Linked DNA regions of Bombyx mori. The protein of the gene in region 2 binds, or shares a complex with, the protein of the main gene of each other region. Links are inferred from orthologs where the notes say so. Each region holds a gene or a part of one and is shown on either strand. Other genes may lie near its edges.

Region 1 (4,120 bases), on a different chromosome or scaffold from region 2:
TTTACACAACTTTGACGACACTCCAACTCTTCAAACGATTAAGAACTGGGTTGCTAAGTTCGAGGAGACCGGTTCGACGTTAGATAAACCGCGGTTGGGTCGCCCAAGGACGTCACGTACGGAACAAAACATAGACACAGTGACACAGTCTATTCGCGAAAATCCGACACAGTCAACTCGTAAGCGCGCCAGAGCATTAAACGTATCCAGGACATCGTTACAACGGATTTTGAAGAAAGATTTACATGCCAGGACGTGGTTTCAACAGGATGGGGCCACTTCTCACACCTCTAACACTGCTATGCCCGTTATCCGTCAACTTTTTCCTGGCAAAGTTATCTCTAAGAGAGGAGACATTTCCTGGCCTCCACGTAGTCGAGATCTGACCCCGATGGATTTTTTTTTGTGGGGCTACCTTAAGGCTAAAGTATACGACACAAACCCGCGGTCGATTGAGGCCCTAAAAGAAAACATCCGCAGAGAAATGACAAGCATTTCAGCAGTGACGTGCCGCGCAGTCATCGACAATTTTAGACGTCGTTTGCAAGAGTGCCGTGTTCGCAACGGATTACATTTAGGAGATGTTATTTTCAAAAAATAATTCCCGTTTTTTAAGCTTTTTATGTAAATAAAAATTTAATTCATAATGTAATTAGTTTTATTTTAATAATTTTTTTTTCATATCAAAGGACTTATGGGCCACCCTGTATTATTCGTGAACTATTCCACGCGGACGAAGTCGCGGGCAAAAGCTAGTACATATATAAATGAATTGCTGTTCGTTAGTCTCGCTAAAGCTCGATAACGGCTGGACCGATTTGGCTAATTTTGGTCTTGAATGATTCGTGGAAGTCCAGAGAAGGTTTGAAAGGTAAATAAATATGAAAATGCTCGGAACTAAATAAAAATAACAATTTTGTTTTTCCTTTGTTGTGTCCCGCGTCGGACGGATTCCTTTTGTTTGTTTTAAGTTTATTTTATACAAAAGTTTAGGTCTTTTATTTATCGATTGAGGCACTACGAAGTCTGCCGGGTCAGCTAGTTAATAATAAATTCACAATTTAATAATACATTGACATTTAATAATAAAAATAATTTGGCCACTATTAAATATGTAGCATATTGAAATCTGGTAACCACTTTACATCGGTTGAGCTCATCAAATGATCTGTGAAATTAACAGAAAACATTATCTATATCAATTAAAACAATTTTCGTTTTTTTTTTTCATTATTTTTGTTTACAAGCCTGAAGCATGTGTAGAAAGCTTGAGAGTGAAGAACTACCCCCACTTAAAAGCAATAGGCAGATCATAACTGCTCCATGCTAGAAGCAGATAGATCATTAATCACCAGTACTTCCAATACCACCAATCTTCATTTTTAGGAACAATTCCAATTCACCCTCGTTAAATACAAATCAGTACTCACACCACCATAATCTTCTAGTTCCTGTATAGTAACATTTATACCAGTTCTAGGATACAGAGAACCAAGTATTGCTGCTTCACATGTCTGTTTCACTATATTCTCTTTGTATCTGTAATAACATGTAATATGATTACAATTCAACAATCGACTGTAACACCTATTTCTTGAAAATATTCCACAATTTAACATCACTTACAGATGTTTCTTTGAGAAACCTTTCATGAAGCATCAACAGAGACTGGTGGAAGACTTATGGGGATCAACCTCAATCACTTTGTTAATGTCTACCCTAACAGAGTCGCAGTGCTTTGCTGAATCTACCATGTCAGAAAAGTGACTCACTTAGAAGATCAAGCAAGAATATCAATAAGTTGTGTATCTGCCATATTGAACTCTGTTGTATCTAGTAATGTTTAAACAATACATTCATTAATGACAACCAAATTTATGTTTTTTGTAGACATATGACCCTCCTAATGGTAAGTGGTTACATTCGCTCACGCCAACGTCAATGTTAGGGGCAAAGCCAAGCAGCTACATGCCATTATGTACTCTCAAAGAAGCCTCGTTTGAAGAAGGACATGTCATAACGCTTGGGAAACACCACAGAGGGTAGTTCATTCCAAAACCGAACGGTGGATTTCATCTATTATTATACAAATGACCACTGACAAGCAAATATTGTTATTAAATTAATTTCCAATAGCCATATAGCTCTAATACATTACCTGTTTTCCACGCTCGGTTTCCCATTCTTATTACTGAACAAAACCTCAAGAGTTGACTTATCTATTCGTTGACTGGTCATCTTTATATCTAAAGGTCCATTTACGCTCACCAATGATACAGTATCCCCTGTAAAAATATTTACAAGCTTTGATGAACGATTTTCTGTCCAAGAAGTTTTAATTAACATTGTTGTACTTTTTAAGACGATGAACTTTGAATGTTCGTAAAATCTTACTGTTCTACTTATTTTTTGTAAAAATACTAAATTATTATTTAACATGTTGTACCTAAATTAAGAGTTTCGGTAAAATGACCACAGCTAGATTATAGGGCATAAAACTGTTTTTACCTTGTGATAAAATAGCTGATCCATCAGATTTGCTCAGGAAGTTGAATTCACATTTCATAGGTTTTAATTTAAAATCCTGTACATCCTTCATATCAGTCACCATATTTAATTCGTTCAAATGTTTAAATATATCTTGAAGTAGTACAATGAAACTTGATTGCTAATTGGGTTTCTGATTTTCTAAAATTCAAAGATGATCTTTATTTATTTTAATAACAAGAAAAATATAGAAAACACATAGACCTATATAGTATATATACCTATATAGGTTTCCTACTTCATTGAGAAAACATGTGAGAATGACATTGACAGTAGTATTCGTTTGTTTTTTACAACCAGAAGGGCAAAGCTATTGAAACATACAGCCTAATCTTTTGTAAATTCTATTTTATGAAGACGATATGAAAATGAAATGAAATTAGGTTGATTAATTTCAAACATTAATTAATTGGAATTAAATTAAAACTAAGACTTATTAAGACTATTTCAGTGGACTGTTTGGAAGATCCCGAGGATCAACGTCCGGTGACTTTGTTTTATTTACCTAAATTTATGCACTTTCCCAGATACTAAACAGTTCATAAACATCCATTAGTACATGTTTAAACATGAAGAAACATTAAATTAACAAAATAAAACTATTCTCACAACTTTGCTACTCGCGTTCCCGCCAAAAAGTCCAAAATAGGAGTACATAATTATCTATTTAGGTACATTGTCCTTAGTCTGAGTTTTTTAAAGTTGAGTTGACACAACGCCCTTATCGGCAAGAGTAGGTTCCAACTCATCATAATCTTTCATCTTTAAAAACTGAATCATTATCCCAATTTAGTACTTTTTTCAGTGTGCTCAATATTTTAAGTTTTTTGAAAAAAAATCTCTATCTTCGAGATCTATATATTAATACGTGAAGCAAAAACTGTGTATCCCTTTTTACGAAAATTGCGCGGAAGGAGGAGTATGAAGTTTTCCACACTTATAGAGAATATAGAGAAGAAGTGCACAATGCTAATCTTTTTTAAAATAATGCATAAAAGATACATTAAATCAATAAAGAAAACATTACACACACTACATACCATGTATTTGACGCACACACGCATGCATATTATTTATTGTTAAACTTTTGTTCTTTTTGTTGTCAAATTGAGAATAGATTAAATATTGTTTGTCTTTGTTAATATTTTTTAAAGTGTAGTCTTGGCGAAATTTGTAAAGAAGTATAAAATACAATCATAATAGTGTACTAGTTTAAATAAATGACTCAACTTAACAAGAACAAACACAGGAGAAGTAGCGTTCTGCAGAAAAGCTTTACTAGCACTCTACGAGTTATTAACTTCCACCAGGAAGCCTGATTTTATTGAAGGGAGCTATGTTATGTGTTTACTGGAACAGTCATTACGAAAATCTTGTATTAGCTATTCAAACTCGCCCGATATTTCTTCCCGAGAAGGGTATTTTCATTTTTTTCTTACAACAAGGACTTAGCAGTAGTACAGATCTAAAGTACAAAGAAGAAACCGTTAAACATACTTGTAAATTACCACCAAAAAAGTTACGTTTATTTAATAGGCTTCATAATATATTCTAAAATTTGTGCACAATATTG
Region 2 (4,257 bases):
TAAAATTTCGACCGTCCAAGCGCTGTAATCAATTTATTTCCAAATTACTTTTGTAGAAGAGTCTTAGGTTATATTCTATTAGTTTCAACTTACATGTCCTTGAGATACGATCTTTTGTATGAAATTCTTTTCACAATTCGATAAACAAGTATCACGCATTTTGTTATTGGTTCATATTTTTTTGTGAATATTCTGTTTAAAGAGGCATACCTAGCAATAAATGTGTGATTATTTTTCTTAGGTTATCTGTTAAACTTTTTTTTTAATTCCACTTGTTCAATTAAACAGGCAAAGGGAATATAGCCTAAAGAACTAAACCAAATGAAAGTCACACCTTTAACTGTTTAATTTAAATTAGCTGTGATTAAATTAAAATGACCTGTCATATTGTGAAAATTTATTGAAACTTCAAAGGAATTATTGTGGATTATGGAATTACTCTACAGCAACTGGTGGCGTTTGCTACATATAGAAATGTACTAGGTACTTCCAAAACCTTTTTGGAAGACCTCGAAAAGTCACGTCCACAGATTTTGTTTCACTTTTTATATAGGTACGTTAACAGATACTAAATTTGAAGCGACATCGAACTGTGAAAATGATACAATTCTGATCATGCGCTCTTCGGCTCCTGGTTAATCCAACCTAGATAAGTCTCGACCTCAGATCTTAATTAATACTTAAAACTTCACGAGAACTGCGTATATTTCACGAGGAGCGTAACAACGTTCCGGAGAGATCCGTACTGTGCTACGGCTCGGACAAATGTAAATATTATAAATATTATATAATAATACTTAAAATGTATATATTAAAAATTTTAATTCTATGATTGATAAAAATTACATTTTGTTCGAACTCTAGAGTAGCACAGGAGCTCAAGTAATATCTGGGGCACAGGTGAACAGATAGGCAGGTACGTAAGCGGCTGACACAAACACAAACTATATAGGCACAAGCTAAGATATGAATAACAACACCTGGGATATGGGCAGAGCTCGAAATTCAAATTGTATTCTATAAACATCTTTCAAACCACCAAACCCCATTAATGTTTTACTGCTAAAATAAATAATATAATTATTTTACTTACCAGTGCTCTCTTACATATTCGATGTGAGCTTAATGTCCCAATTAATACGCAAACTACATTTTTTTGCGTAGATAGGTGAACGAGCTCACGGCCCCACAACCAACCCAGGGAACGCCAGTTAACGATCATAGGTCAGTTTGGTATGATACCTACTAAAAAACACTTAACCATTCTCCGTTGAACCATCCTTAGACAACCTTTACAACACCCATGGGATGAGATGGGGCGGTGCTGCTATTCTATGACACCGCACATACACCGATTTTTGAATTGTAATCTTATTTATGTTAAAATGAACTGCGTAATGTAAAGGTAAATAACCACCGTATTAAATTTTCTAATGGTTTTCTAATGTAAATCATAAGGCATTTGACATAGCATTGACAGAACGCGTGCTGCAAATATGGTAAAAGAGGATGTAAAAAAACTGAATATCGTTTAAAACAAATGCTTCGGTCGGAATTAGGTATATTGATAACATAGATACTTAAGAGCATGTAAAGAATGAATTTGACAGTTTACAGAAAATCGTTGTTTTGCGGACCAATGAACGCCACTACATTTAGTTGCCCACTGAGTTTCTCGCCGGATCTTCTCAGCGGGTCGCGTTTTACAACCGGTGCTACCTAGATTCTGCGAAGCACAGCTCTTGCTAGGGCCAGTGTTGGCAACACTCCCGGCTTGAGCACCGTGAGCCCACCTACACCCTACACGTTAGAGTGAAGCTGAAATAGCCTCTAAAGCTATCACATAGATAGGAAAAAAATACATTCGTTGGTTTCCGGAAATGGGCCAGATTTTTGACTCATATCCAGCAAAACAATAACTGCTTTCAAATGACGTTCTTTGGAGCAACAAAAGTTATTCAGGAAAATTTTATGCCAACTTTCAAGGTAAAGTAATATTGATAAACAATGGACTTTTATCAGCACGTGTCTGATGCAAAATACGTTTGCAAGTTCCGATTGAAGCGGCGTATCAATTGAAAGAGCGTAAAGTAAGTTTGAAGCTCTATGAATTGCCAGAGGCAGCCAGAAGTGAGTGTATTTAAAAAAGTTGATATGGTAATGGCAGTGCTCACAAAGTAGTTTGAGAGCCACGTGGTAGAGCATTATGGATTACCCAATACAATATATTACGTCGTTTTCTCAGGTTCAGATTTGTATAAATGAAAATTCAATAAAATCAATAATAAATAAATTGTAGTATCCGAAGCGAAGCGAGGGCAGGTCGCTAGTCGACTATTAAAATCACACAGCTATTGATTTCGAGTAGAAATATTCAGTCTAGCAAACATAAGGAAGATGCTACCTATCGCAATCTATCTATAGCTAATTTCTGAGTTTATACTGGTCACTATTTTCGGCACATTCTGTTAGGAGTAATGTAAAATTCGGAGAAATTGATTTAGTTGATCCACTGCATGGGAGATCTTCGGCATGATCTTGTACTATCCGCTCTTCGTTGCCCTATGTAGCTTTTTATTGAGTTATTACCTCGTCACGAAATATATCTATATATGCAAAATATCCTATGTCCTGGATGACTATACATACAAATCACAGGTTTCTGCTCGCGTGGTATACGGATCCTTTAGAATGTAGACCTAAGTTTACGGAGAGGCTTTGGTTATGTATTTTTTACCACGCGACCAGCTTTGGAAAACACACCTCACTACACCCAAGAGAAATAAAAAAATGAAAACACGTACAACTCGTACAGTGAGTGCCTTTTATAGAATCACTTACTCCGCGGACCACGGAATAGATAAATAAGGTTATATATAAATATATAAATAACCTTATTTATTATTATATATTTATATATAACCTTATATATAAATATATAATATTTATATATAAGGTTATATATAAAAATATTATATTTATATATATATTTATATATATATATAAATATTATATATTTATATATATATAAATATATAATATTTATATATATAAATATTATATATTTATATTTATATATATATAATATTTATATATATAAATATATATAAATATATATATATATAAATAAGGTTATAAATAAGGTTATATATAACCTTATTTATATATAAATAAGGTTGTATATAAATATATAAATAACCTTATTTATCTATTCCGTGCCGCGGACAATCCAACTCAAGGGTAAAAAACTCTTCTCCACAATATTCTCCGTTAGCATATAGAATTGTTATGTCCATAAGCTACAGTAGCCCTTTTTGCGAGGTGCTCCTTGTACAATCGTGCTATAATTTGACATAACAAAAAAAAAAAAAAACAAAAAAAAATCTTATATATTACATAAACTAACAACCTAGTTTTATATGTAGGTACCTACCACAAATGTGATCACATATGACTATCACCCTAGTAATCAGTTATGCCGACATGCCATTAATGTACTATTGATCATTTTGTAAGAACGAAAACATGAAAGCTTTATGTGGATGATACCTTATAAAAAAACTATATTATTTTGTATTTTGATTGAAGAACCTTTATAGGATGATTTTAGTATTGAAATTTTCTAGTTGCGGCTTTAAGCAGGTGGCCTCTTTGAATTAAAATCGAATCTGCATGGACAATATTCCATTATTGTTTTTTCAAACAAAAACGTTTATATTTTTAATATTGTTGAATTTCTGTATTTTATATAATCTTGTAGCACTAAAAATTGTTAAATTGTTAAAGTAAAAGCTTTTTTAATTTTTTTAATCGCTTAGGTGGGTGGACGAGCTCACAGCCCACCTGATGTTAAGTGGTTACTGGAGCCCATAGACATCTACAAAGTAAATGCGCCACCCACCTTGAGATGTAAGTTCTAAGGTCTCAGTATAGTTACAATGTCTACTCCACCCTTGAAACCGAAACGCATTACTGCTTCACGGCAGAAATAGGCAGGGCAGTGGCACCTACCCGTGCGGACTCACAAGAGGTCCTAGTACCTATATGTATATGCTTTGCTACGGCGTTACAAAAGAAGGCAACCTTATTTACTACTTTGTTAACGACTTACAAAAATGATGTACTGGAAACTTCACAAACCATAGTATTTGCACCAAATTGGCTCGATAAAAAAACGATCGAGTTTTATTTATCTATGAGATCAATTACTGCAGTACCGCTGCAACAGTATTACTCGGAAATCTAACTAAAACCACA

The links.
Region 1: exosome complex component RRP45 (region 2) and exosome complex component RRP46 share a complex: the UniProt entries of both Homo sapiens proteins name them as parts of the RNA exosome core complex. The link is inferred for Bombyx mori from reciprocal best matches to the Homo sapiens genes EXOSC9 and EXOSC5.

The regions. Positions count from the first base shown.
Region 1 is NC_085131.1:1,264,050-1,268,169, reverse strand, and holds the start of exosome complex component RRP46, read right to left. Parts: upstream 2,807-4,120; 5' UTR 2,769-2,806; intron 2,763-2,768; exon of another isoform or gene 2,689-2,762; 5' UTR 2,612-2,688; coding exon 2,509-2,611; intron 2,286-2,508; coding exon 2,159-2,285; intron 1,540-2,158; coding exon 1,431-1,539; intron 1-1,430. UniProt on the Homo sapiens protein: Non-catalytic component of the RNA exosome complex which has 3'->5' exoribonuclease activity and participates in a multitude of cellular RNA processing and degradation events.
Region 2 is NC_085119.1:13,155,639-13,159,895, forward strand, and holds the start of exosome complex component RRP45, read right to left. Parts: upstream 2,801-4,257; 5' UTR 2,764-2,800; intron 2,685-2,763; 5' UTR 2,650-2,684; intron 1,558-2,649; exon of another isoform or gene 1,489-1,557; 5' UTR 1,094-1,488; intron 917-1,093; exon of another isoform or gene 865-916; intron 768-864; exon of another isoform or gene 677-767; intron 554-676; exon of another isoform or gene 323-553; intron 211-322; 5' UTR 160-210; coding exon 94-159; intron 23-93; coding exon 1-22. UniProt on the Homo sapiens protein: Non-catalytic component of the RNA exosome complex which has 3'->5' exoribonuclease activity and participates in a multitude of cellular RNA processing and degradation events.